Linked DNA regions of Mus musculus: region 1 is reported to be linked to region 2. The links are microRNA targets in miRTarBase. Many come from high-throughput screens and were not tested one by one. Region 2 holds a microRNA gene; the other region holds the end of a gene's coding sequence.

Region 1 (5,065 bases), not on the chromosome of region 2:
ACTTACAATAACTAACAACTTTCATTCTTCCATTTAGCATCTGGGGACAGCTCTAGTCTGTGTTTCATTCTGTCATTAATCTTTGGGGAAGCCTCCCTGCCGCACAAGAGCCAGGCTTATAAATTCTTCGCCATGCCTCTGCAAATTAAACAAAATGTGCTTTAAGCTTGCTTGAATTCAAAGGTGCTGTGTGATTGATTTGCAAATGTTTCTGGGGCTAGGTCCAAAGATGACAAAGCTACCCATAGTAGCCCAGCATTTTAACTTGGGGAAAATGCTTATAGGATCAGGTACATACACAAGAGCAAGAACGGGAGGTTGGGGGAGGCATCTGTAAACTATGTCCCGTGAGGTCTGCATGGAGGAAGTTGCCCTATCCTGCCTTATCTCTAAAGGAGAAATCTTTCTGTCTTTGTCAAGAACATCACCAAGCAAGGTCAGTTGATGGTCGGCTGGCCATGTTCCACCTCACTCTGTCACAGTCACCAGGTAAGGAAAAGCTTTTAGAGTCAAACTCTCATAATAGATCCCTGGGAGTAATAATATGCCAATGGCATCTTTGTCTGCAAAAGTCTATTAAACACAGTCACCACACGCATACCATGTGGAAATAGTCGAGGCAGACATCAGCAATTCCAGGTGAAATGTACCCCTGTGCATCTAGGGCGAGGCAGAACTGGACCACCAGATATGGCCTAAAGGTCAAGGCCCGGGGGAAACCGTGATCTTTAGGGATGAAAATGTCACCACTGACACCATTGAGCTATTGATGACTGCCACTACTCAATACCTTTGAAATGTGCTTTTTAATGTTCTTACTTCTCATGGGTTTGAATGAGATTCTGGCTGACCTGATACTAAAGCAAAAGAACTCTGCTACCCGACTCCTGCCCCAACAAATCAACGTGCCTAAGTATAAGCAGGTTGTCTGTGCGTCTCCAAATATGATTTGAGTGACTAATACCAACCATGCAGTGTACACGTTTGCTGAAAATGCTAATTCTCATACCGGTCCCATACATACTAAATCAGAATCACTGGGGACGGGGCCAGGCAGTCCATTCAGAGCCATGTGGGTGTCTGTGGGGGTGCACAGGCACATGAGTGTCCACATGCACAGAGGACAACCTCTGCTGTCGCTCTCTAAGCACTGTTCCCCTCGTCCTTGAGGTGAGTCTCTTCATCACCAGAAACTTGACAACTAGACTAGCCTGGCTAACCATCAACACCAGGGATCTCCTGTCTCCATCTCCCAGTAGTGGGATTAGGAGAAGTAGGAGAAGGCCACTTCATCCAGCTTAGTTGGGTCCTGGGGATAGAACTCAGGGCCTCATGCTTGTCAAGTAAGCACCTCACTGAGATACTGCCCCAGACTCCATTCCAGGTGGTTCTAATGAACAAAAAAAAATCTTAGGAATGATTCGTTGGTCTATTTTCTTTCAGTACCAAGAACTCCACTTTGAAGAAATGATGGTTATGTATCCAGTAAATATATTTCCCAGCATGCTCTACAGCAAAGAAGAGCAAAGATATTCATGTTTATAACTGAAAGGGGCCTCTAATAGAGCAAATATGAAGAAGCCTGGTTCAACTAGGAGGGTTAGTCCACAAAAGGAGGCAGCATCATTCTAGACCTTATTATACAGTCCTAGCACATGGGTACCTGGGCCAAATGATTCAAAGTCTGCGTATGAAAGAAGAGAGTTAGAAGAAGGGATTCCAGCACATTAGGAATGCAGAAGAGACATGAGTGAGGTAACATGATCTCTAACCTCGGTTCCTAAAGATTCACTCGTGGTTATTTTCGTTCTTTTGTCATGAGCCAATACCCAGGGAACCCAAAGAGTGGATTATTATGTAATCTCAAGCTCACGTGCTACAAATTTCAGAGCCAGGACACCTCTTTCACTAATCAGTTTTAATAAAACAAAAGCTCAGAAACCAGCATCAGGAGATCCCACAACACAGTTGAGACTGCTGAAAGTATCGGCTCCCAAACAAGCCATCATAAAATACATAATGAACTGTGAACAGTCTGACTCAGTGAGGGAACGGCTCTCTTCTTTAGTCCTCTATAGATGCCATTGGGAGTCTCTCAGGGCAAAAAAAAAGAAAAGAAAAAATGGATGGCTAAGGATGTTGTACATTACACCCCAGTGACCTGACACGGGGACTATTTTTAAAGACACACTTATCTCATCAGGAGTGACAGCAAGTTATGAAGCAGCCAAGTACCATGGCCAGATAACCCTTCATGAGAGAGGCTGCAGACCATGGCTGCATCCTTCTCACATCCCGTGTGATGGATGGACGGGAATTGCCCTTGGTTGGTTAGGCAAACAGGTTAAGGAGCCATAAATGTAATGTAGAAGACAGAGCTTAGAAACCAAGAACAGTTAGCCTAAAATAACTGCAGCCACTCCTGTGCTTTAAAAATTAGTCAGATTTAAAGTTTACAAGATATATCTGACTGTAAATGTGGATTCTAACTGTCTCGTACATTTCTTGAGTGGTAGCTGAGCACTGAGGTCTATTATCCCATTAAAGAACACTGTTATGAGGGATACATAACCACAGATTTATACAATTCTCTCATGATCCTAAGCAATGCATTCCATATCACAAGAAAATGGAAAAGGACATCACAGCTATATTACAGAAAGTTTCTCGTTATCAACAGAGCGTTATCAGTTAATTCCTATAAAACACCGAGAGAAGCATTAATACATTCTGTATATTTATATATATTTATATTTGGAGTAATGGGGGTTATCACATCAGACCTGATGCATCTTCCTTCCCTGGACAGAAAGTAATGGTGGTGTAAATAAAGAGGTGGGGACCAGAGAAGCAGAGTAAACATGTTAGCCACACTTGAAAATGGGAAGTTCTCAAAGATTTCACTCTTTCCCACTGCCAACTTATATTCCAGAGGACTAGGCAAAGATGGCTTGAACTGGCCTGGCATCTAAGTATTTCCACAGAACTGAGAAAACACTCAATGTAGTCATTAGTTTGGTTTAGATTTGGGAAGATTTCTAATAGGTAGAGATTAGCACATCACAGCTTGTGTGTGTGCTGCAAATAACGTGAGCAAACTAGTTCTTACAGTCAGTCAGTCAGTCGTTCTGCTGGCCCAGGTAAGAGCAGCTCAGGTGGCAGGAACTCCTAGCTCTGTCTCTACCATTGCAGAGGGTACTGATGAACAAAAGCCACTCCCTCAGCCTAGCCTCCAGACTGCTGGCACCTGCCAGAGCAGCCCTGACCCCCTCTCCCCTTTCCACATTCAAGTTCCAACCTGGATCTCAGAAAAAGCTTCCTTGGAGCAATGAAGAAACGAATGTATCTCATGCCTTTTATTTCCTAATGTGCATGCTAATGGCCTGTTTCGAACGCCCCGAGCCAACACACAGAGCATAAATTTCTCATAGGTCCTAAACACTATAATAAATGTACATTGTGTTTTTCTTTGAAATCAAACAGGAAGAACTCACATTTTGAAGAACTGTGGTTACCTTTCCCCATCCTTAGTCAGTTATCTGTGAGGGGGTTCTCTCTAAAGAAAAGGAGTGCAAGCAGCCAATAATAAAAATAAAAACATTTTCATTTCATTTCTTCCTGTTCTCTCTGGGTAAACAGCATCAAACAACCTATGGTCCTGAGTTTCACAAATGAGCAACACAGGAGAGAGAAGTACCTGCCCTACCAATTTGAAGAAAAGTTCCCAGGTAAAGGAAATGGCACGTGGCTTGCCAAGTACATCCTCCGGACAGCAAGCAAGATGCTACCCATTCGCACCAAGTTTCCTGCGACCTTGAATGGAGAGTCCTCCCCAAATATGGCTAAAATGTTGGCAACCTTAGCAGCCACCATTTGTGGGAATAAAACCTCAAAACTCTTATATACAAACTTAGTTTACATAATACCCATCCTCACGTTGCTCTGACAAGAGCAAAACCATAATAAATATAGTTCTTAGTGTATCACCTCTTCGTTATGCAAAGTTCAGGATGCTTGGGAAGAAAAGTCCGTCTATATACATTTTGCTTAAAGGTTGGGTTTTTCTATATCAGAGTATCCTCAAGGCTACTGTGCCAGTTTTCAAAAGGAAAATATGATAGGTGATACTTTCAAATGCAAATACGTAGTCTGCTCTCTGAGCCCAGTATGTGTTGACCCCACTCCCCACTATGACAATCTGCTAGGTCACTGGGCTCCCAGAAGCTGCATGGAGGAGCTTAAGTGGTTCTAGTCCTCAACTTCAGTCCGAAATGCAAATAGTTTTTTGCACCTCATTTAGAGGAGCATATACTCCTTGCTTACTGTGTGTGTTTACTGGAGTGTCCTCTCCCTGCCTGGGATGAAGAGACCTGAAGCTAAGCACACAGCTCTGGGATCCCAAGGATGGTTCTGGGCACCCCTAGTCAATCACCTGAGTTAAAAATGTATTAACAACTGCAGTGGGTCCTAAACTAGGGATCACAAAGTCCATTTCTCCTTCCGTGCTGTCCGCGGTATCCTGTAGACAGTGAGAGGCAGGAGGCGTGGCTGTGCTGGAGTGTCCTGAAAAAGATCTTCCCATCTGTCTTTTCCCGGTGGGTTGGTCACATCAGGACTTGCTCTCGAGTCTCTGGCAATCGAAGGGCAATCAGGCCACCTCCAACCAGAGAAGCAGCAGCCAGAAGGATGGGGACCACTTTGGTTATCCCAACAAAAGAAGCAAAGATAGTGTTTCCCAGGATGGCCCCAAACTTGCACAGTCCGTTGAGGATGCCGAAGGCCGTGGCCCTGCAAAAGAAGAGGACAGGAGAGGATTCTGAAATTCTGGGCTTCGCTAGGTGAACGGCTGTATGTTCTTTCCTTGTTGTAAGAGGAGGAGGTGTGGGACTCAATTTCTTATCTAAATATAAAAACAGCGATTTCATTTTAGCCAACACTGGAAATACTCAATGAAATTAAGATGTAGGGATACCTGGACTAATAGCTGCTATTAACATTCTGAATTGCCTTCAAGCCTCTTTCCTTATCTTCCCAAGCATATCTCTAATTAAAATAGTTACAAGTA
Region 2 (5,075 bases):
CATGATAGTATTCTCCGTAATTTTATTCTAAGAATTTGAGAAATTTGGACTTATATTTTCTACAGAGAATTTTAGAAGGTTCTGGAAACCCCTCACATTGCGGTGCTTTGCTATTAATTGTGATTCGGATGGAAATTGCTTGATCGTAGTTCCAATTTTGTATATTGAGATAAGGCAATGATCATGGCTTAGAGTCTCAGCTCAGCAGCCTTGAAAAAATGATATCAAAAGCAATGACAGGTATGTATAGAAGCAATGGGATGCTGGCCTGAATATGATAGTGCAGTGGTCAAGCAAGGGAACATGAGCAACATGCATTCTGGTGAAACTGATAACACAGATGGTCCCAGGAAGACTTGCTTTCCTTCCACAAGAGACAGCCCTCTGCAGGAAAGCTATCTCAAAGGAAGCCACACAGGACTATTCAGATTCATCAGTTTTATGTCTTGTAACTATCTGAAGTCTGAATGCATGCCATCAGCAGATCGTTACCTTATCTACCTCAAAATACCAGCCAGAGACACTTGTCCTGTAATCTCTTCGTGTACAAGATAATAAATGATTACAGGTTTAGCATACAATATTCTAAGTAAATAAAATGAATATGTATAAAAATTTGGACTGAATGGTTCACCAATATTTTATTAATAGTTACACACACACACACACACACACACACACACACACACACACACACACACATATATATATATATATATATATATATATATATATATATATATATATACTTATTAAAGCCACTTAAGAGTCTACATAAGTATAATGTAGTAACTTTCTACCCTAGTTTTGAGGAGTACAAAGGGATTTTTGTTTAAGTTGATATTTGAAATCAGTTTTGAAGACATGCTCAATAGAGTTCATACTAACTTGTAAATGCACTTCATTTCAAGAACACCTAGGAAATGGATAGAAGTTACTGCCAGATCCACTCAATCAAAACAAATAACAATATTAGGATATAATAACCAAAGTGAGAGGAGTTGAATTTCAGGCAGTAGGCATAGGTTGTATTAATTTTCATTGTAGTTTAAAGTCTTGTGTCATAAGCAAAGAAAGATGTGCTAAATTGGTTTGATTCCTTGATTGTTTTAAAAATAAGTATGTTTAAAAGAAATTATACTAATTAAAATGCCTATTGTAAAATAAATGCTTATTCCATGCACATTGTAAACATAGAAGTTCAAAATTGTTAGCAATGTAACTTGAGAAAACCTAAGTGGTTTCTGCTTGATTCTGCATGACCTACATGCGTCCTTGCAGTTCTTATTATATACATACCAATATTTAAATTATGAGATACTTAGATACTATTTGTTTTGCTTTTTGATAGTTCCAATTTTGTTGAATGATAAATTCTCCCTGTCTTTAACAGCCTGTAACTAAGCTCCCCCCAAAAGGACTTTTCTTCCCTTTTGAAAAAAAAAAATCCGATTCTTTTCTTTGACACAGCACAAAGTGGAGGTTTGCCAAGCTCTGGGCTGGAGGAATCCTGCTTCTTTTCTTCTGTACTCTTTTGAAATGGTTTAAAATGTGTGACAGGTTTGGTTAAAGGATTGGGCTTTCCTCTGCCTCCCTCCTGCTCCAGACTCCCACAGATACTGTTTAAATCAGCACATCTCTGCCTCACAGGTTGCTTCAGTGAACATTCAACGCTGTCGGTGAGTTTGGAATTCAAATAAAAACCATCGACCGTTGATTGTACCCTATAGCTAACCATCATCTACTCCATGGCCCTCTGCGTTTGCTGAAGACAGAACCGCAAAGCAGGACCCGACAGGATTCTCCCCGCCTCTTCAGAGACTATGTTTACAAAGGTCACAATCAACATTCATTGCTGTCGGTGGGTTGAACTGTGTAGAAAAGCTCACTGAACAATGAATGCAACTGTGGCCCCGCTTTTTGCTGTCGCAATCAACAGACGTTCCCTCCCTAATAGAGGTCCTGGGGGTATTAACGCCGTTTCTCGGTTTAACTTCTGCTGTCTGAACTTTCAGGTTTGTTTATTCAATTCATATCAAGTCCTATTTCTGTGAGGAAGTCACTAATTTATATAAGAATACTGCTTTTCTATACTCCTGGGGGTTACAAATGGGGCATTTCTTAAAAATGCTAAAGTGTTGGATGCCCAGAATCAACTGTGTAGCCCTGGGTTGGCACGGCTTCCTGCTCTGCTGTGCTGGTGGGAGGAAGAACCAAAGAAATATCTTACTTCCTGCCCCGTTATCCGTCACATTGTTACACAGAAAATAACCATCCCCTCATCTTTCATTAGATTTCTTGGTCAAAATGGGCTTGAAGCAAGAGGGAATTCTTTTGCTCTGCATAAAGAATCGCTGAAATGGCTCTACTCTCTATGGAATTGGTAGGCAGAGGGATAGTACCTCAATAGCCAAGTACTTTGTTATCCAGGGGCTCATTATAATCATGCAATAGATTTGTTTCCCCAGAGAGACCTCAGATTTAAGATTATAGTTCATCATCTTTATTTACCCTCTACTTTCTTCTGAAATGGTAGACTTGATTCCAGGGACTGTCTTCAAGCAAGTGTGTGTGTGTGTGTGTGTGTGTGTGTGTGTGTGTGTGTGTGTGTGTGTTTCCTAACTAGTTTGGCTCTATAATTTCAAAAAGAACATCTGTCATTAAGGTTCATCACCTCCAATAGTAAGTACAGTGGTTGGAGTTAATATTTATAACAGGATGTTCAGCATACAGTGTGTACATGGTACCTAGTACATGGTACCTAATAGATTTTAATTCGTTGGGAAAAAATCTATCAAACATATTGTCCTTTCTCTCTCTTGATCAGTTTATTATGATATACATTCAACTCCCACTACAGAAATCCATTCCTGGGACCTTGCTCTAGTGTTCAGAATATTCATTCCCACAGTATTTTACGTAGTTAGTTCACAAGTGCCTGCCTTGCTTGGGGCATCTCTATCTATCATAACTCCTTTCTCCCACCGTCTGTTTCGTTCCATTTAACGTATGACAAGGCTCTAATCTCAACAAAAAACAAGAAGTTCAAAAAAAAGTTTCTATTCCTGCTTCATTCACTGAACAGCCCCCTTCTTTTTTCTATCTTAAAAAGCTATGAGTTTGGAAACGTCACTTAATTAGTAACCTGCAGAAGAGTCTCTATTTGTGTGTTCTCTCATTACTTCTCTTCAGCCCACAATTTGACATCTTGAAACATTGCTCTCTCCCAATTGTGCAGATTTTTTTTTAATGGAAGCTGGTCTTGGTGAAACCAAATCACCAGTATTATTCCACCCCTGGTAGCAAACTTCCTACTCTTCTTCCATAAAATCATTCCCTTTAAGTTCCATATTTAAGTGGATCCTGCGGCACTGGCCTCTATTTCATTGATTATAAATTCATCCAGGTATATATTTGTTGATAAACTTTTCTAAGCCTGGATAGTATTTCATTTCATATGTGTATTTGTGTGTGTATGTGTGTGTGTGTGTATTCGTATATATGCTAAGGTAATGGAGATATGTAGATATATAGGTATATGTGTGTGTATACATATATGTGTATATATATATGTGTGTGTGTGTGTGTGTATACCTATGAAAACATCCATAATGTCAGAATATTTTCTCTACTCATTCATTGATTGAAGGACACTTTGTTACCAAAGCTTGGCTATTATCAATAATGTTGAAATGAAGAGAGTACAAATACCTCTTTGATATACATATCTCAGTACACACACACACACACACACACACACACAGAGGATGTAGGGATGTGAGGACATATAATTTAGGGATACTATTTTCATTTTTTGGAAGACATGTCATCCGGTTTTCCCAAATAGTTGCACTAATTTACATCTAGCGTTCACAGTGGTTTCCTGTGTCTTTATTCCTTTCCATTACCCTCTTAGCTCTTGTCACTTGCTACCATGTATTTGATAATGTCCATTCTAACAGGGGGTAGGCATAAAATGATTATGATTTCAATGTGCATTTACCTGATGGGGTGACAAAATTTTTCCACATATTTGCACTTTAAATTTTTAGTACATTATTTATTATTATTTATGTTTCTTTAAAACAGTCTGAGTGTTTGATGTGAATGATATAAAAGTCAATTTGTAAAAAAAAATTCTTAAGATTGTACTGTTCATGTATATAGGCTTGAATTCAAAGCATAATAAAATATTAAATTTTAATTACTCATTTGAGTTTGACTTTTTATGAGCTACACGAACTATTATCACATGAATTCACTATGTAATGGTGAGTTTTTAGAAATTTATGAATTACAAGTCTTACTGATTCTTGATGGGAAGATAAGTACAAAATTCATATCCCAGGTTGTACTTCTAAAGACGGCGATTTTTGAGGCAGCATCTCCATGTGTGGACCATATAGGTCTGGTGGCTTACTCTGTTCTCAGCTTCCAGAGTCCTAGCATCACAGCTTTTTATGACATCATGCTTATGATGTAATTATAAGTAATAGTAGGCAGTCATTGTCCAAGTTGTAATGCCAAGATATGATAAGGAATATATACAGGAAAACAAAATGTTCTCAAAATTCAAAGGCATTCTTAGGCTGTTTAGTTATATTTCATAACTCTTTCTTCTTCTTTGGGTAGTTCAAAAAAGAGATCATCTCATTTTCATGTGTTGTTTTCTCTCAAGTACAGTTATTGACAAATTCACTTAGTTAAAATCTCTATTGTTGGGTAGATGTTTTCTGAGAAGTTTTCTCATGGGGCTGGGGAGATGGCTCAGTGATTAAGAACACTGCTATTCTTTCAACAGGACTTGCCTGGAACCCATATCAGGTAGCTCCTAGCAGCCTACAAGTCAAATTCTGGGCAATTGGAGTCCCTTTCTGACCTCCATAAGAACCTGTATATATGTGGCATAGCTCCATAAATACACATACACATGTGCATGTACATACATATACACACACAAAAAGTGTGCTTCTTTTTATATTGCTGTGTTTTGTTTCAAGCCACAATATCTGCCTCTTTGCTGTCCTGAACACTAAAAACTTTGGTTGAAAAAGAAAGAAGGAAAGAAAGAAAGA

Evidence for each region. Region 2 holds the annotated microRNA mmu-miR-181a-5p (AACAUUCAACGCUGUCGGUGAGU, at 1,663-1,685, shown strand). A microRNA usually pairs through its seed, bases 2 to 8, with sites in the 3' UTR of a target mRNA and lowers its output. Matches are read on the target gene's strand: a 7mer-m8 pairs with bases 2 to 8, a 7mer-A1 pairs with bases 2 to 7 and ends in A, and an 8mer does both.
Region 1: the mRNA of Sv2b is a reported target of mmu-miR-181a-5p. Seed matches in the 3' UTR shown: 7mer-m8 at 3,283-3,289 and 7mer-A1 at 2,725-2,731.

The regions. Positions count from the first base shown.
Region 1 is chr7:75,112,991-75,118,055 of GRCm38, forward strand. Sv2b (synaptic vesicle glycoprotein 2 b) reads right to left here. Exons shown (of 13, transcript NM_153579.4): 13 at 1,904-4,788. The coding sequence ends at 4,605. Among named protein-coding and RNA genes, the nearest start is that of 4930533N22Rik, 85 kb to the left of the region's middle.
Region 2 is chr1:137,964,806-137,969,880 of GRCm38, forward strand. Mir181a-1 (microRNA 181a-1) reads left to right here and starts at 1,650; the gene lies at 1,650-1,736. It overlaps Mir181b-1 (microRNA 181b-1), which reads left to right and starts at 1,834; the gene lies at 1,834-1,913.